Xenopus tropicalis: one gene and its partner. The protein of the gene in region 1 purifies or fractionates together with the protein of each later gene. This does not show direct contact. Links are inferred from orthologs where the notes say so. Each region holds a gene or a part of one and is shown in the gene's direction. Other genes may lie near its edges.

Region 1 (11,869 bases):
TTTAAGATATGCCCCAAAATATTGCAATATTAAAGTTTAGAAAATACTGTTGATGCAAAAAGAGATGCTTTTTATTATGTTTTGCCATAGAAAAGCTATATAGTTAATCCTTAATAGATTATTCTGCAAAGGCCAGGTACCAAAAAATTTAATTATGCAAGAATTGTTAAGGTGTTAAAAAAAGGCCCAAAATAGCTGGCATGAACTGAAGCTGGCAAGTTATTTCTGCCACCTTGTATATAGTACTTTTTACAGAAAAACATTTTCTCTTTTCTTCTCAGTATATTTGGATGGAACCAAATCTGAAGATGAAATACAGTCTTTAGTCTATTCTGATATAATAAGTAGGTAAGCAAATGATCTAGATTAATACTAATAGTATTTATTTATTAAGGATGAGTTGAACCATATTTAGTAATATATTCTGTTTTCACTGCAGCTCAGCTTATATTGTACTGTTAGTTTTATAGCTGACCGTTCCCCTTTTTGGGATCTTTGCTTTCTCTCTTAGGTACTGTAGGTGGTACTGCAAGAGTAGCTTTTCTTCTTTATTTACTGCTTCTTTCTGCTATCTTGCTTCCATTTTACTTCCTTCTGGTGTTTGAATATAATTATATTATAGGATGTATAATCCCGTTATCCAGGATGCCCTGTACCCCAACTGTTAATGGAAAACCAGTTGTATTTGTTTTGTTTTTGTGCTGTAACAATGTAAGCATGGTGTTCTATGTATTTGAGAAAAGAACCTTATCTGCAAATGCACAAATATACAGTGTACAAAGTGTCAAAAATTGTTTGGACCTGGGGTTTTCCATACTAGTTCAGTGTTTTTCATCTAGTTTATGTACCATATCTTTAATATGCACACTCAATCTATATGGTGTGTGGATGTACCTTTATATATTTGAAAAAGACAGTATGCACCTCATTTTAGCATGAGCTCAATGAATAGGGCTTGAACTGAACATACTTTTTGCCTTTAGAGCTTTACTTAAGAAATATCTATGGTTTTTGTTATTATTATTTCTGGTATTAAAGTAGAAAAGGGAACAAATTTCACATTAGTGCTGTGACTTCCTGGTTATGAGAAGCCAAGGAGAAATTGATAGTAATTGATAAAACTAATTACCAGTCTTCTGATACACCCTCTGATAATGAGCTGCTCAAAGGCTGTGGCTTAGGGCAAGGTCACATGAGGCAGATTGTGAGCCTCTCTATTAATATACTTTTAGTTGTGTATGCACCTGGAAACATTGAATCCACCCGGGCAAGCACACACAGCCGATATCCACCAACAAATGCAAGATATTGGTGGCCTGTGCCTGATTCTGTATTATGTATACTTGATCACTCATATACAGTTAATACTAAGGGGCTTATTTACTAAGATTGGAGATAAATATCACCGGTGATGTTGCCTGTAGCAACCAATCAGCAATTAGATTTAAACAGTTACCTGCAAGTTAGAAATTAAAAGCAAAGCTCTAATTAGTTTCTATGGACACCATCAGTGGTGATATTTATCTCCAATCTTAATAAATAAGCCCCTAAGTTTTATTCTATACATATGCATTGGTTATTGCATAATAGGTATCACTGCCTGGCCTAATTGTGTCTATGATTAAGTGCATTGTGTAGCACGAAACACGTAAGGCAACAAGAATTCCCAATAAATGATTTTGGATTTTACAAAGCATGGATTGAAGTCATTCCCTCAAAGTGCCTGCCAAGATAATAATACCACATTTAACTTTGTAATGGATTCTGCCTGATAATTTCAAAAATGGTGATGGATGGTGTAAAATCAGAATAAGAAGACATAAAAGCTTAAGAAATAGTACTTTTATTATACTCATCTTCATAAATACAGCCCTAAGAGTGAAGTTGGAGACAATTATGTTTACCTGCTGCTATAGCAGAAACTCACAGGTTGCTATTACTTGTATTGTGTGTATATGTGCTTCACAGTGTATTGTTTATCTTTGACAGCTTCTCAATTCACAAGTAAAGCTGCTAAAAGAAAGTGTTGGTCGCCTTCTCTAGGAATTATTCATTTAATGTAAAAATGAATCCAGAAGACCACAACCCGGCACAATATACAAAGAGTACGGACCCAAACATGTTTAATATGTAGTAGGAAGATATCACAGGTTAAGAACAGATGAAAGGAACATGATTATTTACAATGTTGCATCATACTTATAATTGACAAACTCAAAGCAATGGATTTTGTTGCTATATTGTGCATGCTACCTCACAATGCTTATAACTAAAACAATTTGTCTGGAAACATTTGTTTGACTTCAGTTGTGTTTGTTGCAACATGGAATTCCTTATGCTGTGGAAATTTTGTATAGTGATGTTCTGAAGTAAAGAAAAACTTTAGTATCCATTTTTATTTACACCATTATGAAAAGAATACAAAGTATCTTTTTTTTAATTAGCTATTACACCTTGTTATACCTCTCTGTCGTTTTGGAAAAAAAAAACATATTAGAACTGTTGCATTTTACAAGTATAAAAAAAGAGAGATATGAGCATTCATACTAAGACTATCCTCAAGTGCACTGGTGTCAGTTTTACTAGTCAAGCAGGGCACTTCAAAGGCATGGGTTAATACATGTGTGTAGGATTAAAGGGGACATATTGGATAAATGGGAAAACCCTAATTTTGTAGGCAATTATGAATAATATCCGGTGCTGGTTTCCCTTTGGGCTAAACATTAATCCTATCTGTAACAATGGCCCCTTTATTGGAGCTCCCTATAGATCCTATCACTACACTGTCCGAGTTTGAAATGGAGAGTGGGCGTGTCCTAATGGTCCCTGCCAGAAGCACAGTAGGAGGGGGAGAGCCAATCACAGCCCTGCACTCACACAAGCACAGACAGGCTTCAGTTCCCTATCAGGTCAGCCTAGTGCAGTGTACAGAGGGCCGCCGGCTCCCCAGCTCATCCAGAGAATTGAGCCAGCAGGAAGTGGAACTGATGGGCGGGGCTAGTGGGGTTTTTGTGGAATTTCTCAATAAATCAGTCAGAAACACAACTTTTTTAAGCACAATCCTTCTATATCTAGGAGTATAATTCACTGGTACATTCAGAATTTTTATAGGATATGTCTCCTTTAAAATACTATTCATAAAAACACCTCATTACTTTTCATTTTACAAACTGACCATTCCAATGGTTCATAAATCTGTTGACCATAGTATTTGTACTTTTTTGGAGTGGCAGGAGAAGATCTGAAAGTATTTTAATTGCCACTGCTGAACTGAGAACTTAAGCACAAAAGAGAAATTCAGTTTATTGCAATTGCTCTCATTAATTTGGATCTATCATGTAATTTTTGAACAATAAATGGACATTTTTGGGGGTGCTTTGCTAAGAGGTCTTTGAGTGCCCTCCCCCCCCATATTTGGGACCCAGTGTAGCTGAAAGAGTAACCAGCCTGAAGATTGTAGGATTTAAAGAAAAGGATAGCCCGGGCTGCTGCTCCTGCTTGTAAAAAAACTGCACTGGCCTATCAGTTCCTCAGAAGAAAGTCCCAGGGCCCCAAAAGGTGTGGTTATGGTTCTTCTGTGTGAGCACCACGGAGCAATGCTCTTGTTTTGCTTCTTCTTTCTTCACGTATTCTGGTGCCGACACATGCACAATGGAGTTAAAAGATAGCTTTTCTAGTAAAGTTCAGCTTTTCATTCTACAGTGCATGTGCACCCACACGAACAAAGAAGCAGGAACGCTCTGTAGCACTTACACAGAAGGGCAGTGGAGTTTCTCCTAACAGGAGCACCAGCCTGGGGTTTAAGGTAAGTGCTTACAATTACTGGGGGGTGCCTAACCTTTGGTACCCCCCAGTGATTGTAACTTTCCTTCTCCTTTAATAGTTATTTTCTCTCCTAAATAAAACTATGCAATTTGGGATGTTGGCTTTCACAAGAACAGCACATGTGATGTGTTCTTTTGGCTGCTTGGGTAAAGAGATTTGCACTTCCTGATGTGATGGAAATCCTGCTCCATTCCTTATACAGCTACTGTGGGCAACAAATCTCCCCAAAATACCTTCCCACCACAAAGTAAATTGCTGGTGGCAAAGCAAACGCAGTACTTTGTTTTCCAAAGTTTCCTGGTGATCAAATTAATAAATGTATATTCTAGGACCAATAAGGTACTGTTGGCAATTGGTATATCTCTGGCTCACTGATACTCGGTAAAACTCCCAATACAAAGCCCTAATGGGATATGGAAATGACTTTTAAAAGTGACTGTCACCAATTGTCTTCTCCTAAATTAGCCCTTTTTGTTTCTAAATTGCCATAAGTCTTCCCAAAACACAATGGGACCCTTTGAAGCCACTGTAGGAAAAAAATGAGCCTAAAAACTAGATAACTGTTACTGTCAATTTTACCCATAACTTAGCCATTTTTGTCCGTAAATTGTTAAACAAAACTGAAGTTAAAAAAATAGACACTTAAAACTCAGTTTCACCCAATATCTTGGGTGAACATCTTGTCCCTATTGTGAAAAATTTTGCCCTGGTTGGCACAAAAACACTGGGATCCTCATGCCAAAGTAAAAAAAAAATTGAATTGAAACACTCATGATTTCCTTTTGCCAATTTCACTTATTGTCTTTTCCTAAATTAGCCATGGTTTTGTCCTTAATTGTGAAAAACATGGCCCTTGTTTGTACAAAAAAAACCCAAAACACTGGGACCCTCCAACCCAAACTTATTTTGTCGCCAGGTTGTGAAAAATATTGACCTAATCTTCACATAAAAACACTGGACCAAAACTAAAACTAACCAAAAGTCTGTTTATGGGTAACCATGGGTCAAGGTGGCAGGGAAGGTACTCACTTCAGTGTTAGGATCACAGGGAATAAAGAGAAAAACATTACTTTTGTCCAATTTACCAATTGTCTCCTAATTAATCATTGTTTTGTCTCAAAATTGTCAGAAATCTAGCCCTTGTTTGCACAAAAACATGGGGACCCTCAGATTAATGATTTAATGCACAAACCTTCCTTTCTGGTCAAATTGGGAGAAGAAGATCTGATGGTGTTTGTGGGACAGTCCCCTGATTTTCGTGGGACAGTCCCTCTTTCGACAGCTCAACCAGTAGTCCTGGATTCTTACTGAAAAGTCCCTCGTTTCCCTTTGATCTCCTTGCATTGAAGCTAAAAAAAGATACAAATTTAATTAAAAGTAGCTTTTGGCAGAGAACCCAGAAATCTAGGCTGATGCCAGACACTGCGTAGGGCTGATATTTTCGGCAAGCGGAAAAACGCTTGGCGAAAATTCAGCCCTACGCCTGCTACTTGTGCCTGCACCCGAATGAATGTGCAGGCACATGTAGCCGATGAAAACGTGAGACTTTGCATTATCTTGCGTTTTCATGCGTATATCGGCTACATGTGTCTGCACCCGAGTATATCTCATTCATTCTGCACTTAGATACATTGTTTCTCACTTTTAATGAAATCAGTGGGCTTTTGGCAGTGAGCCCAGAAAGGTAAAAAGCCCCACCTGCACTGAGATACAAATGTAACTAATAAGCTAAACAGGTCTCTTGGGGGAACTGAGACTCGCAGACTTTCAAACTCTTGCAATTTTATGAGTATTTCTGCTACATGTGCCTGCACCCGAGCGTATTCTATTTATTCGGGTGCAGGCACAAGTAGGAGGCTTAGGCCGGAATTTTCAGCAATCGTTTTTCCGCTTGCCGAAAATATCCGCCCTATGCCTCGTCTGGCATTAGCCATATGGGCAATTTCACCTTTTTCAGCAAAACTGTAATAACACATTACACAAGACCCCAAAACCTTGAGAAATTTGATCAAACTTTAAATAACCTGCCAAATGTAATCAAATGAGAGTGGGTGTGGGCAGAAATGGGCATGGTCAGAAAATTCACCATGCTGCGCTTATTTTTGTCCCTCTTTCCGTTTTCAAAATGTTGGGAGGTATGCAGAAGCATATATTAGGATGTTGCTGCACCAACCATGATAAAAACTAAAGTCGTTTTTTTCTACTCCACAGCACAAGTATAGGTTTTAGAGAGCAGGAAAAAAAGGTAACTCAGTTGTGGCCAATATCGGGAGCTGAGGCTCTAATACAGCGGTGGGGGTGTATGGCAGGCAACTTATACCAAAAAGAAACGAAAAACGTTTATTTTTGTCACTGATAAAAGTAGGAACTGTGAAGAGTGGGAAAAACTTTGTAAAAGGCTGTTCTTCTGCAAGCGTATGATTGCACTGCCGTAAAGTAGGCCGTCGCCGGCAGTCACTGCACTTATATACTTGTAGTCGTGACGCCATAGTCTCGCGAGATGAAATTTGTGCTGTCGGGATTATCTGTCAGGCAGGAGCCAAAGAGGTGGATGTTCATGGCGTTGCGGGACGTTTAAGCAGCGACCCGGGACTGTTGGTTCTGTTAAGAAAATCGCGTCTGCCCAACGTAAAGCGCAACTGTTGAGCGTTATGGAGGAGCAGGATATATGTGCCTACAGGGAGCGACGTCAGCGCAAAAGTCCAGAGGAGGAAGAGGCGCTGGAAAAAGACCACTTCTGGAAGATCATCAGTGCCTTTATAGGCTATGGGTGAGTATCTTTGTCTGGCTGCCGTGTCTAGCATGCACTTCTAAAGGCTTTGTTTATTTACATGGTCTAGCATCCATTTTGGCTGTATTATGATGCTGGGGGTAGTAACTAATATCATTTTTAATATGAGCTGGAGGAGAATGGAATAGATATAAATGTGGATCCAGAGTAAATCTCACTTTCTCAACCATAAGCATTGCCTTAACCCTTACTGTTGTAGGGGAAATGTCCACTGCTTAAAGTGCTAATTTCATCCTCAAATATTCTTTAAAATTAGTATCTTATTTATAACCTATTTGGTTATAAATGAGCTAAGTGGGACTGGAATAGATGTGGATTTAGACTAAATCGCATGGATGCTCTCTCATCCATAAGCAGTTATAGCCTGTAACTATGATTCATTTTATTATACATAACTATGTCATTGCCATTATAAAACACAAGGTTTGGTAAAAGTAAATTAAAATGCTTAATATCTATGGTGTTACCACCTGACTGGTAAAAATGATGCTTTATGCCAATATTATTAATTTGGGTAAAAAAGATAGCTATATAGGAAGGCTGGTATTTTTTTTTTTTTTTTCAAGAAAGGTTGGCAACCATAAGTATTAATGCTAGGATTTGATCAATGTAACTGAGATTGCATGCTTCTTTTTTGGTTTTTTGCACTATTTGCCTCCAAAATCTTGTGTTAGTTCAGATTCTAAAGGTGGCCATACACGTTAAGATCCGGTCGCTTGGCAAGGGCACCAAGTGAGCGGATCTTCTCCCGATATCCCCACATACAGGTGGCCCTGGGGCCAAATGATCAGATTACAACTACGGCAATGGGCGCCGTCGGTTCGGCGACCACATCAACAATCAACAAGCTGATGTGGTCCCCGATCTGACAATCTTTTAACTTGCCCAATCGATATCTGGCCAATTTCAGGCCAGATATCGGTTGGGCATGCAAGTCGTTGCTGCCGCTACATGGGCCAATAAGCTGCTGAATCAGTCTAAGGGACCGATATCGGCAGCTACAATCGACCCGTGTATGGCCACCTTAATTCTGCCTCTGCTAAACTGTGCAGGATATGGAAAGTCAGATCTCTCCATTTCTCTGGCAATTGCATTAACCCAGTGGCCAGTACTTAAAATGCAAATTTAATCCTCAAATATTCTTTAAAATTAGTATCTTATTTATAACCTAAATTTGTTTAATTAGTGAATTCTGTCTTTGTTTGTTTATTTAGAAGTAGCATTCATGAGCAAGTGAACCGCACAGAAAGACAATTTAAGTCCTTGTCAAAAAATCAACAGAAATTGCTTCCCCACTTCGTTCCTCACTTGGACAAGATCCGTGAGTGCATAAATCACAATCAGAAAATTCTGCAAATGATTGTAGATGATTGTACCCATATGTTTGAAAACAAAGAATATGGTGAAAAAGTAAGTACAATTTTATTTAAAAAATACAGTTTAACAGTTAAAATTCTAGTCTTATTGAAATTGAATACTTGATAACTGAATGGATTATTTTATTGCTATAATTTAATGTTTTTTGTATGTTTAATAATGCATACATAACTGAAGGTCTAGTGTAGAGGCTGGGGTGGTAACTGCAAAGTTCCACTTTACCTTGGAGCTTTCTCTTTAATTTCTAGCTAATTACTGTGGTACAAAGCATACAAGCTGGCAAGTGATGCTCAGTATTCATAACATAATGGCAGCGTCATACAATTTGGTAGTCAGTGGGTAGTATACACCCCAATAAAAGGTAAACCCCTTTAATCACACTGAACCATAAATAAATATGTCTGACTCTTGAAATAATATGTAATAACAAAATAACATGTTTCATATTTATTGTTTAAAAAACATTTTTGGTAGAGGACACCCTTAGAAATGTATTTTATGCTTGCAGCACAGTGTGTTTCAAATCATCAAGTTGCATGGCACTTGATGGTAAATGTATGTTATTCTTGGGTCTGTAATCACATGTAATAGATCCTAGGTGTTGATCTTTGTTCCCATATGTATCCACCGGCAGGAAGAACAAGCTCAATTTACACATGCAGTACTGTGTATCTGTAGCATTCTGGAATGCACCACATGGTCCAATTTTGAAAAGGCTCATGGGTACAAAAGCCAGTTATATATATTATGATGTATGTGCTCTGCAAATTGGCAGCCATTACAAAATACACATAGTATATTTTGTGTTGTAGAACTTGATTTTCCACGTGAACACCATTTCATCTGTTTTGAGCATATGTGTTTATTGCTGTATTTATAGATGGAGCTTCCCTTGAAATCAGATCACATAGTATGTAAGCCTATGTTTCCAATACACAGGGATACAGAAAGCCAACTCCTCCTTCAACCTTTGATATGGACAAACTTAAATCTACTATAAAGCAGTTTGTGAGAGATTGGAGTGAGGATGGCAAGTCAGAGAGAGACGCTTGTTACCAGCCTATAATCGATGAAATTCTTAAGCATTTTCCAAAAGATGAGAGGTATGTAACTTTAGGCATTTTGACACTGGCATTTCCTAGGAATGAATAGTAACCCCAAAAATGAAAGTGTTTTAAAGTAATTAAAATATAAGGTATTGTTGCCTTACATTGGTAAAAAGTTATGTTTGCTTCAGAAAGACTAGTATAGTTTATATAAATCTGCTGTTTAGGCATGGGGGCAGCCATTCAAAAGCAGAAAAGGCACATGTTGCATGGCAGATAACATTAGATATATAATATGTTATGTGCAACTGCAAATCAGAGTGGATGTAGCTGTGCCAGGTTTTGCAGTGGCACAGATACATAGATTACATATTCCTAATTTGGAAGGGAATTAGTACTCTATTATAACAGTTTGTGTAGAAACTCCATGTCTCCATGTCAATGTCTTTGAAATTTACTGTAACAATCAGTTGGCAACAGCTAAAATTTTTTAATGTCACTTTAAGTAGTGAACGTTCTCCAATGGGCACTTTCCACTGGTGATTTTAGCAGCCTGGTGTGACATTGGCCCTAGGGTATTGCCACACAGACAAAATTGACAAATCTGAAAATATCTTTGCATTGTAGTGCACGATTTAACGCCTTTACTAAAAATGATCATTTCCCTGCAAACTGGAGGATGCATCACTCTAGGGCCAACACATACTTGAAAAAATCCCACTGCAAAGTCCATGTTGTGTTGCCAAAAGCTCATGAACCACAATTTTCTTTAAGTACTGCCTGCCCCAAGTATTATAATATTTAGTGCATTTAACGCTTCTTATGTGTTTGTGAATAATGCGTTAGTACTATTTCTATTCGCTAATTAATGCAATGCATTAAAATGAAGGCCTTGCAATGATGCGTTATTTAGCGCAGGCGATATGCGTCTTAACGCATGCTAAAAGACTTTGATGAATCGGTACTTATTTATCGCATCAATTTTAACGCAAAAAACCATGCGATAAGCGTTATCGCACTTTAGTGAATCAGTAATGTCTCTAAAATGATTCTAAATAGTGCCCAGCATAACGCACTTTTCTCCCTGCACTCAGTCTCATGCAGATCCTGTACCACAAACTGCTCAACTTCAGCTCTCTCAGCTACTTCCTAGTCTAGCGTGAAGCTCCACCCCCATTTCTTTGCTGATTTTTCTCTATTTTTCTGAAATCAATCAGAAGTGCTCAGTAGACACCTCTTCGACCATCACAGTCAGAGAGCGAAAGAGAACTCAGAAAAGGGGATGGAGCTTTACACTAGACTAGGAAGTAGCTGAGACAGCTAAAGTTGAGCTGCTTGTGGTGCAGAATCTGCATGAGACTGAGTGCAGGGAGAAAAGTGCGTTATGCTGGGCACTATTTAGAATCATTTGAGTGCAGGGAGAAAGGTATGAAAGGTAGAGACGTTTATGATAAAAGACTTACTTATTCTTTAAGTGCCACATGCTAAGAAACACACAAGGAAAGCAGTCGCTGCCCTGTAGAGCTTGCAGTCTGATTAAGATAAGCAAGCTTCCTGACATTACAAATGAAGTTTCCATCTAAGAATTCAGGTCTTGCTTCTTTCATCATGCAAAAAAAGGATAAAAACGCTCTTTGGATGGACTTTCTCTTTAAGTTAAACTTACTGAGCTCAGTTTTATATTTCATATACAATATATGAATCAAAGGTGTAGTGGAGGAACACTGCTGCCATTTGCATGCTTTAGTGTGTTACAGTACCTTTTAAAATGAAAGTTGATATGGGACATAGCTGTTTAGTTAGTTTACATTTGAATCTGACCTGCATGTTAGGCATCTGCTCACTCCAGCCTTTATAGATTACATTTTTGCCTAACTAATTATATTACAAATATTTTTCATTTTCTGCAGTCTTCATTTTACCCAGTTTAATTTTTACACTGTACTGTTCCTTTAATGCTTTAATAGATCGTTGCACCACTTAATTTCCATTTTGTATCTTCCAGTGATGTCTCCAATATAAATATCTTAGTGCCTGGTGCAGGGCTTGGTAGGCTGGCATGGGAAATAGCTAAGCATGGGTATTCTTGCCAAGGGAATGAATGGAGTTTCTTCATGCTGTTTTCCTCAAATTTTGTGCTCAATAGGTAAGTTATAAATACAGACCCTGCAGAGTTGTGAGACACTTGATGCATGTATTAAAAAAAAAAAAAAAAAAAAAATAAATATATATATATATATATATATATATATATATATATATAATGTGTGTATTTAGGTGGAAAGGCTGCTAACAGGAATACAAAATGGAATGGGAATTGCTATTAAAGATGTAGTAACTTTAAAGGGGTTGTTCACCTTTGTACAACATTCACAAATCTAATAGTTCACATTGCTAGAACAATCTTTGCCATATACATAGTTAAGGAAAAAAATGTGCAGCTGAAGAGATATTCACCTCATAATCATCCCTCTGCTGATCCTTCACTTCTGCACAGACCCTGTGCTGGGGGGTGGGGGGAGGCAAGGGAGAAATTAACCAATGCCCGTTCATTTTATGCAACTGGTTAGAGTGCAGAAGCAAGCAATAGGAATAAACGAAAGGCCTCGACATGATGATGTAAGCATACATATAGAAAGTTCTCAGCATGTAAGGTTAAAATTAAGCCACTCCCATCTCTTCAGAAAACTGATCAGAGGGACAGAAGGACTGATTTAACAGGTATAAAAAGTAGTTTTTACAGTGGCCTTTGTACTTTTTTTTTTTTTTAATGGAAAATGGATTTTTTAACACACTTAAAGTATTGTTGGTGGTTTAATAAGATTTGGCC
Region 2 (10,225 bases), about 25 Mb from region 1:
TATAGTATTATAGGCATTACACGCTTACCGTGTATAAAATTCAGCAAAGTGTTGGGATGGAGTAAATGAGTTAAATGCAGAAGAGAGCGCAGATACAACTAATTGCGCAAGTGTTGTTGCTGTTAGCAACCAATAAGGTTTTTGCTTTTATTTTCAAACGTGTATATTGGCCAACTATTCGACTTTGTTCCTTACTCAAAACCACTATCTTAAAGGAGATGCAGGTGAGGGTGGCTGTATTGTTTGCTGGATATAATTACCATTAGAAATCAGTAGCATGTACCAGGGAATTAAGGTCCAAATGACAAAACAAAAATCAAACCCATCAAAGTATTTGCAAAACATTAACAACAACAAATATAATTATACATACAGCCTCATTTACTGTTCATTGGTACAGGTATGGGACCTGTTATCCAGAATGCTCAGGGCCTGGGGTTTTCCTGATAAGGGGTCTTTCTGTAATTTGGATCTCCATAACTTTAGTTTGTTAAAAATCATTTAAATATTGAATAGGATTGTTTTGTCTCCAATAAGGATTAATTATATCTTAGTTGGGAATCAAGTACAAGATACTGTTTTATTATTACAGAGAAAAAGGAAATCATTTCTAAAAATGTGAATTATTTGATTAAAATGGAGACTATAGGAGATCCGTAATTTGGAACTTTCTGGATACAGGTTTCCGGATAAGGGATCCCATACCTTTATGTCACTGGGCTCACATGCATTTGGTGTCTTAAATTTATCGAATTTCAGAATAGTACTTAGATGCATCTGTTGTATAAGTGTGTTGTACTATTCTGATCAGTCCTTTACTGATTTGTTTGCAGAGAGCAGCGAGGAAGAGAAAGGTCCAGTGATAAGGAGGATAAAGAAGGATGTGGTTAATCCCATGATTCAGAAGGTTAGAGTCACAGGTATTCACTATGTCACCCTGAGGCCCCAGGAGCATTAAGGAGCTTTATAAAATTTTCTGCCAGTTAATCTTTCAGAGTGGGCAGCAACACTTCTCCCAGATATTTCCTGTAGACCTCTCTGTTTAGAGATATAGATACCACATCATCTTCTCCTGGCAGCTAATGGCTGAATGGAAGCACAACACATGCCATAACCCTCTCCAGCCTGTCACCCTGTGTGCAGGACAGACGTTAACATGCCACAGAAGGGATGTGTGTAGTGTTTGTCCTCTTGAGCTTTCTGGTAGTTGTATTTACCTCTGTGTGTGATTTAGAGCAGGCAGCAACCAAAGGACTGTGAAGATTACAAAGCAAGCAGCAGTGAAGATGAGGACAAAACAGCGAAGTCTATCACTGTGTCTTATAAATCTACCCGATCTGCGGTAAGAGACTCTTTTGGAATTGGCTTATTCTTAGCACAGGCTTTATGTCATAAATGTTAAAATCTTTGAAACCCATCATCAGTTAGTTCTTTGTGATATTTTATTCAGTTTGTGAATCAGCCTATGCTGTCTGTCTTGTTTCAATATAAATGATGCATTGAAAAAAAATCTGTATTTATAGAATGACATGTCTAAGACACCCCCCATTTCTTACTATGTATGCATTCTTTGTTTCTTGCAGAAACCAGTAGGGCCAGATGACATGGGAGCCACAGCTACATATGAACTAGACACTGAAAAAGACAAGGATGCTCAGGCAATTTTTGAGAGGAGCCAGAAAGTACAGGAAGTGAGTATTTAGTATGTGATGCAGTGGATTATATATTCACCTTAAACTATGAGAGAACCACTAAAGCAGAGAACCCCAACCTTTCTTACTCATGAGCCACAATCAAATGTAAAAAGACTTGGAGAGCAACACAAGTGCCATAAAAGTTTGTGGAGGTGCCAAATAAGATAGGTAGCCTCTATGCACACCATCAGCTTACGAGGCTTTATTTGTTAGCAAATCTTGTTTTTATTCAACCTAAACTTGCCACCAAGTCAAGAATTCAAAAATGAGCACCTGCTTTGGGGGCAGTGAGAGCAACATCCAAGGGGTTGGTGAGCAACATGTTGCCCCCGAGCCAATGGTTGGGGATCACTAAGGAATGCAATAAGTGTTAGTAAAGCATGCAGTGTTCTGCATGACTTACATGCAGTTTCTTTAAAAATTCTGTGCTTTTTTTCTCTTCACTTTACTTTCTTTAATATTGTAATACTCTCCTTTTCATAGATGACACTCTGTTTAGTTCCCACTATTTATTTTGCTTTAATCTGACAGGAGTTGAAGGGGAAGGAAGATGACAAGATCTATCGAGGAATCCACAACTACCAGAAGTTTGTGAAACCCAAAGATACCTCTATGGGCAATGCATCCTCTGGCATGGTTAGGTACGTGTACCCCTCCCACTTTCCATTCTGTTTTAATTTAGAAACATTTCACTTTTCAATCAACTGGGTGATTAAATCCTAATAGTTTAGTCTGCATTGATAACTTTAACTTTTATCATTTTAGGAAAGGACCAATACGTGCCCCAGAGCACCTCAGAGCCACAGTACGTTGGGATTACCAGCCAGATATTTGCAAAGATTACAAGGAGACTGGGTTCTGTGGGTTTGGAGGTCAGTTGCTGGATTGTGTTGTACCCCTTTCCATTAAATGTCTGTTGTTCCTTTGGCCCTTTTTGCCCATATTTTATTCTCTCTTCCCTTACTATTATTTATTATGTAACACTGCAAGTTTTACTCACAGCTAGTTTCACTTATACTGGGCCTAATTTAAGTACACAAGTATGAGCAATTACCCATAGCAGCAGTCAGTTTTTTACTTTTATTTTCTAACTTGTGGACTGATTAATCTTATAGCTGGCTTCTGTTAGCAAAGGAACAGTTTAGCTTCCACTCATATTTGCAACCTTCTGTTTCTGCACCCAAAGTCACTGTGTTGATGAAACCCTTGAGTATGCATTTCTGTGCTGAAATCCACTCGCAGTGGCTCCGGGTACAGACACATATCTGAGTGGATGCCCACAGATCAGCTAAATTTCGGCTAGTGCATATCCTGAGAATCAGCCCTAGAAGGCATTAGCCTGGGAATTCATATCCGTCACATTCTATTGTACATTTTAAGTTGAAACCTTCTGCATTTGATGAACATGTGCATGTTTTATCATTCAGACAGCTGCAAGTTTCTCCACGACCGCTCTGACTATAAGCATGGATGGCAGCTGGAGCGGGAGCTTGAAGAAGGACGTTATGGAGCAAATGGTACAGTATAAAACATGCAGTTGCATACAATGGGATAAACTGATGTAGCGCTGATCACAACATTTCCAAAGGGCTAGTTCCTGCTAATCACAGGGCAATTATAAATCCTTATTTAATGCACAATTGTAAATTTCCTGTTCCCAGCATTCTAACAACTGATTGGATATTGCTTTTCAGATGAGGAAAATTATGAGGTGAGCAGTGATGAAGAGGACTTTCCTTTTAAGTGCTTCATTTGCAGAGATTCCTTTAAGAATCCGATTATAACCAAGTGAGTGCTAAAGCTGTTAATACAGGTTTGACTGACTTGTTTGTCTAGGGGTTATAAATAATACCAGTAACAATAATTATTATTGCAAGTTTTGTTGTAGATTTAATACAAAATGTTTTTTATTGCTGTATTCTGTAAACGGGGTACAGCACAGATGGTAAATACACTACAGGTAAACGGAGACTTAATACTGTGTTTTGGGCATAGGGTGGCACATTGGATGAATGTAAAATACTGTTAATTCTGATGTACAAGCTACATAATACACTACTTTCTGTGACATAATCAGCATTTTGTGTTTCTGTGTTTGAACAGTTACAGTTTAATTAATATATATGCCCATTTGTGTTAATTCCCAAATGCCTTTTCTATTTATTGTTAAATAACTATACATTTTTTTATGCATTCCCTTTCTTTTAGGTGTAAACACTATTTCTGTGAGAAATGTGCACTTGAGCACTACCGTAAATCCAAACGTTGCTATGTATGCAACACACAAACCAATGGTGTTTTTAACCCAGCTAAAGGTAAGTTTTGGAGTGATATGATGGGTTGGTTGTGCTCACAATGCATCACATTGTCTTTCATTTCTACACGGTTTAAGGAAAAAAGGAAAGTTCTCTATTGCTATACAGTTATTTGTATTCCAATCAGCAAGTTCATTAGATCATTGCATGTCACTTTCATTGGGTCTTTTTGTAAGTAGGATATGTTTTTTTTCTATATTTCATATACAGGCATGGGACCTGTAATCTAGAATGCCGAGGACCTGGGGTTTTCCAGATCCAGTCTTTAAATTAGATCTCTGTACTATGAGAGATGGCCTTCCCATAATATGGAGCTTTCTAGATAGTAAACAGATCCTATACCTGTACTGTTCTAATCTAATTTTTTCACTGTAATGCAATGTTTAGCACGTGTTAGAAGGGAGGATTTGTTGCAGTCATATGAAAAAGTTTGGGAACCTCTCTCAGCCTGCATAATAATTTACTCCACTTTCAACAAAAAAGCGGTGGCATGTCTTTCATTTCCCAGGAACATCTGAGTACTGGGGTGTTTTCTGAACAAAGATTTTTAGTGAAGCAGTATTTAGTTGTATGAAATTAAATCAAATGTGAAGAACTGGCTGTGCAAAAATTTGAATGCATGTAACTGCTCAATACCAATTACTGGCAACACCAAACAGGTCGATTAGCTCATTAAGCCTTGAACTTCATAATCAGGTGTGTCCAATCATGAGAAAAGGTATTTAAGGTGGCCAGTTGTAAGTTATGCTTCTGTTTGACAACATGGGACAGCATGGGATCTTTAAAGCAACTCTCAAAAGATCTAAAAACTAAGATTGTTCAGTATCATGGTTTAGGGGAAGGCTACAAAAATCTCATAGGTTTAAACTGTCAGTTTCAACTGTAAGGAATGTAATCAGGAAATGAAAGGCCACAGGCACAGTTGCTGTAAAACCCAGGTCTGGCAGGCCAAGAAAAATACAGGAGCGGCACATGCGGAGGATTGTGAGAATGATTACAGACATCCCAAAGATCACCTCCAAAGACCTGCAAGAACATCTTGCTGCAGATGGTGTATCTGTACATCGTTGTACAATTCAGCACAAACTTAAAAAAATTAAGAGGGGTCCCCAAACTTTTTCATATTACTGTATACTCTCTATTAAAGGAGAAGGAAAGTAAAAACTAAGTAAGCTTTATCAGAAAGGTCTATGTAAATACAGCCATAAGCACTCACAGAAACGCTGCACTGACTTCTCTGTCAAAGGATTTGTTGTGTCTGTTTTCCTCTGCCAGAGACACGCAGCTCTCTCCTTTCTCCTGCTCCCCCCTCCCTCAAGAATGCTAAGAACTCACTCCCCCCTTAGGAATGTGGATCTGAGCCAATCAGCAGGAAGCTTCCTCATAGTCTTACTTAACTGCACATGTACACCGGTCTTGGTGCAGGAGCGAGGCATTATGGGAACTTTCTTTACACAGCTCAGTGTTTTTTTTCTTCCTGTTTGGCTTCTGATCATCTGAACAGGTGAAATATGGGGAGACTTAAGGGCACTATTGAGAGAACTGAAGGTATGCCTGCAGCTTGAGATTAACTCTTTATTAGCCTTTCCTTCTCCTTTAAATATTTTTCATTCTGTTTTGGGGAATGAGCTGATGGATAACTTTCTATGGGTTAAAATTCTCTATTTGCTTTTTATCTGAGATTACAATGGTCCTGTTAAAGGAACAGTAACACCAAAAAATGAAAGTGTATAAAAATAATTAATATACAATGTACTATTGCCCTCCACTGGTAAAAGTTGTGTGTTTGCTTCATAAACACTACTACAGTTGTGTGTTGTGTAGCCATGGGGGCAGCCATTTAAATTGAAAAAAGGAGAAAAGGCACAGGTTACTAAGCAGATAACAGATAAGTAGCATAGATTCCCGTTGTATTCTACAAAGTTTATCTGTTATCTTCTTATGTAACCTGTGCCTTTTCTCCTTTTTTTCAATTTAAATGGCTGCCTCCATGGCTACACAACAGCTATTTCTATTAACTACAGTAGTCTTTCTGAAGCAAACACACAACTTTTACCAGTGCAGGGCAACAGTACATTATATTTTAATTATTTTAAAACATTTTTATTGTTTAGTGTTACTGTTCCTTTAATGGCTCAAAAATCAGATCTGACAGCTCACATAGAACTCACATCTTGCAAATTGCATTAAAGTCTTAGCGCCATAGTTGCAGAATATCGTATCTATAGTGCAAGTGAAAATTAGCCCATTTACAGTTAGAATACGCACTGTGATTTCAAGGCAAGTCAATTCAAGTTATCGGTGCCCCTGCAAGTCCACACATATGATTTATATGTAAGCTATTGGAAAAGCTGCAATGGTATACAAAACACAGATGTTAAAGGAACAATAACACCAAAAAAGGAAAGTGTTTTAAAGTAATTAAAATATAATGTACAGTTGCCCTGCACTGGTAAAACTGGTAAGTTTGCAACAGAAACGCTACTATAGTTTATATAAATGAGCTGCTATGTCAACACGGGGGCAGCCATTGAAGCTGGGAAAAAGGAGAAAAGGCACAGGCACTTAGCAGATAACAGATAAGCTTTGTAGAATATAATGGGGTTTTATCTGTTATCTGCTAAGTAACCTGTGCCTTTTCTTCTGTAAATGGCTGCCCCCGTGGCTACACAGAAGCTTTATTTATATAAACTATAGTAGTCTTTCTAAGGAAAACACACCAGTTGTACCAGTACAGGGCAGCATTACATTATATAGTAATTACTTTTATACACTTTCATTTTTTGGTGTTACTGTCCCTTTAAGGCAGTTTGAGACAAAAAGCAGTGTCTGATTGCTTCCTTCCTTCTTGTGTCTCTTAATCTGGTTTTCCTTTCCTTTATAGAGCTGATTGCAAAGCTAGAAAAGCACAAAGCAGAGGAAGGAGGGTCAGACTCTTCAGAAGAACCGCTGTAAATTAGAGATCTTTTGTGTACATAAATCATTGTTTTTGTAATGAAATAAATGGTGGGGGAAAAATCAAATTTCATTGCAGACTTGATGCTGTTTAACAGCTTATTTATGTTATTTTATTATTACTGATGGAGTCATGAGAACCTGTCAGTGATACCTATCCACTTACTGTACATTAGAATTGCATCACAAAGATGAAGATGCATCAGCAATTTGTGTGTGTATTCTGGTCTGTAAAGTATCACTGATAAGGCAGCTTCACCTATGGTTAAACGGTAATTAAGGAAAGGCTACATTTTACATGTAGATGAAATGAAAAACAAGTAACTCATACAGGGCTGCATTACAATGCAGGGCCTAGTGAAGAAATTATTTTTTGAGCTGCAGAATAAAAAGAATCATAGGGGCATATTTAGCAAGTGGTGAAGGATAGTTCACTACAGTTTACTGGTGCAGTTGGCAAATGGCTCCTAGAGCTGCCTTATCTTCTTTCTCTGTAGTGATTGCCAACAATGAAAATACACATCTTAAACTGCTTCCAACCTGGCTTTTAACCTTACATGCTCAGCTTTGGTGATTGCTTCCAAGAGAAGATCAAGTTTTGCAATATGGTGCCCATTAACCTTGCTGTGCTTCTCTTCTTTTTGGGAACAGGTAGGGTAAATGGGACTGTTTTGAGAGGGAGGCCAATTTAGCGGTCTTAATTTATCTACATAGTGGTTTTGTTCTCATTTAATCCCTTCTACATTGTGATGATCACATTTTTAATTCACGTGTATAGCATAACAGAAGAGACTAATTCAAGAAAGTAGTACAAAATGAGCTATTTGCAGCATAGCGTCTTTATCACACAGAATGTTGCTTTTATGTATCATTCCCATTATTTTACATTTTAAAGTAAATAATCTAATTTAATCTAATAATCTAAGTGTCTAATCGCTCCCTTTAATATAATAATGCAGTAGGTCATTGCCAGTGGCTTACTGTGTAGAGAAGAAAAGGAACCTTTACCCCTGAAACATGGCAGGTCTCTAAATAATTATACTTTTCTAGTAGGATTTTCTTTTTTGATAATCCCATACAGAACCACTTCTAGAGCATGCATACATGCTAGGTAACACCAGCCAATGATTGGACAGAGCTGTGTCCATCTCTCAGATGGCTTCCTGTTATAGTAAGAATCTGCATTTCTTCCTGTTGTGTGATCAGTGAGTGACACATAGAACATCACTAAATAGTGGGTTAAGGTTAAAGATGTAAAAGGGCAATATTTACTTATACCTTTTATTTATACCTTTGTGCAGAAAGTATAGCTAATCTTTGTTAGAGCCTTTAGTAATTGTGTATCATTGTTTCATACAATGCATAACTACAGCAGGGAAAATCAGAATTGAACATGTCAAGGTTTTTCTCAGTTAATAATATATTAGGCTATAGGCATGAAAACTAGGCATGAAATTTACACCAGATAGCGCTAACAACCCAACTAATACGAACATACAAAGAAATCTAAACAAATAAGTTAAAGTTATTAATAAATTAAGTTACTACTGCTCAAGTGCAGTTACCCCTAGCAACTAATAAGATGTTTGCTTTTAAACAGGTGACCAGTAAATTTTAATGGGTTGCTGCTTCAGGGCAAACTTAGTGACTTTAATTAAATAACCTGTTGGGTAGCTGATCTACAGTATTTTCATGTACAGCAAAACGTGTGGCTCAGTTTACACTATTTATTCATTAAATGTCAATGGTTTTGATTCCAGCTTCATTGATGTATATTGTATATCAAGCGCTGCTTTAAATGAATAAGGCTAATAAATTTCGGAAATCCACCATTCTGTTTAGACATTTAGAACCAACTCATTTTTGTTGAAACAAAGTCTGATATTGGCTTCTTTTAACAGGCAATGTACTGAACCAGGTGCAAGTGCTATGTAAGCTTAGGAGTGCAAAATGATATTTTAACACCTAATCAAATAAGCCATTAACCACAGGCTCTGGAGCCCCTTCTTGTCACAGCTATGAGGAGTAAGGAAAAGGGCACATCAAATGGACCCTCATATCCCACCCCTCTTGTATCCAGCATGCTATTCATAGTTCTTACCATATGTAGAGCTATAAGAGGTGGTTTTCATATGGTTAAGGCACAGTTTTGACCCCCTTTGAATGCAATCACCTATCCTTAGAAAATGTCATTAGAAGAAAGATCCAGTGAGTCTATATTAAAAAAAAAAAGTATCCTTTATTACACTGGCAATGTGTAACGCACAACTCACTATGGTTCTACAACACGTACAAATGTGTCTTCACAAACTATGTACATGTTGAACACAGTATGGTTCAAAAGCACCGACCTTCATCCTTCTCTCAGCCACAGACACACAACAAATGTACGTATATGTGTCTCTAGCAGGTCAAGGGCAGGGGTCATATTTTAAATTATACAGATGTATATTTATATATATTTATATGTAACAAAAACATTTAAATTGGCAAACGGAAAACGACAGTTATGAGGACAAGTGACAAAGCATTACAGACACCCATGCATAAGCAATTACACATTTAAATGCAGGTTACATGAGAACAATTTGTTCCAAGATGTACAACATATTTCCATCTACTTCATTTCTACTAATTCAACTTAATCAACTCTTTTACTAAAGTGACATGGCCATGATTTGGGTACAGATTGCAGCCTCCCAACACTGTAAAAAACCAATGATGTGGTTGTCAGTTCTTCAGACAAGTGGATCTAATAGCCCAGTAAGGCTAAGATATTGCAGTGTTTCATACATGGACATCATGTACTACGTATGACATTGCGCATCCACACTCTTAAAGGGAGAGTCAGGGGGTGCTGGGAATTGCATATCTGTAGGGCCACAGATTGCACATAACTGATGTTACCTCTATTTTTACTTTAAAAGTAAAACTTGGAAACAAAAGGGCTCAGAAGTTATAGTTATGCTACAGATAGCTGAAACAGTTTTGTGGTAACGATGCTTACTAGATTTGTTCAGGGTCTTTTCAGATTGTATAATATGTAAAACACATGAAATTGATTTTGCTTACTATTTCAATATACTGAAATAATACTGAAGGGCTAAATTTATAAAGTAGATTTTCCCTGTTGTATTCATCACTACAGGTCAGAATTACTGCACATTTTTTAAGGGTTAAATTGCTTCCTAAATGTCCTCATAGTTTATGGGAGGGAAGTACAAAGTGTAAAAAGTGCAAAATGTTATAAAATCACTACAT

What was found. The genes of interacting proteins can lie anywhere in the genome.
Region 2: the proteins of carnmt1 (region 1) and rnf113a purify together in Homo sapiens (affinity purification with mass spectrometry; 3 studies listed by BioGRID and IntAct, counting the BioPlex papers as one, with this or other methods). This does not show direct contact. The link is inferred for Xenopus tropicalis from reciprocal best matches to the Homo sapiens genes CARNMT1 and RNF113A.

The regions. Positions count from the first base shown.
Region 1 is NC_030677.2:131,480,497-131,492,365, reverse strand, and holds the start of carnmt1 (carnosine N-methyltransferase), read left to right. Parts: upstream 1-6,078; 5' UTR 6,079-6,476; coding exon 6,477-6,595; intron 6,596-7,830; coding exon 7,831-8,026; intron 8,027-8,932; coding exon 8,933-9,096; intron 9,097-11,044; coding exon 11,045-11,185; intron 11,186-11,869. Other genes in the region: nmrk1 (nicotinamide riboside kinase 1), read left to right, coding at 282-344, 1,990-2,063.
Region 2 is NC_030677.2:156,459,850-156,470,074, forward strand, and holds the end of rnf113a (RING finger protein 113A), read left to right. Parts: intron 1-833; coding exon 834-907; intron 908-1,234; coding exon 1,235-1,342; intron 1,343-1,583; coding exon 1,584-1,691; intron 1,692-2,225; coding exon 2,226-2,335; intron 2,336-2,459; coding exon 2,460-2,566; intron 2,567-3,121; coding exon 3,122-3,211; intron 3,212-3,388; coding exon 3,389-3,482; intron 3,483-3,902; coding exon 3,903-4,009; intron 4,010-6,893; coding exon 6,894-6,964; 3' UTR 6,965-7,028; downstream 7,029-10,225. UniProt on the Homo sapiens protein: Required for pre-mRNA splicing as component of the spliceosome. As a component of the minor spliceosome, involved in the splicing of U12-type introns in pre-mRNAs. E3 ubiquitin-protein ligase that catalyzes the transfer of ubiquitin onto target proteins.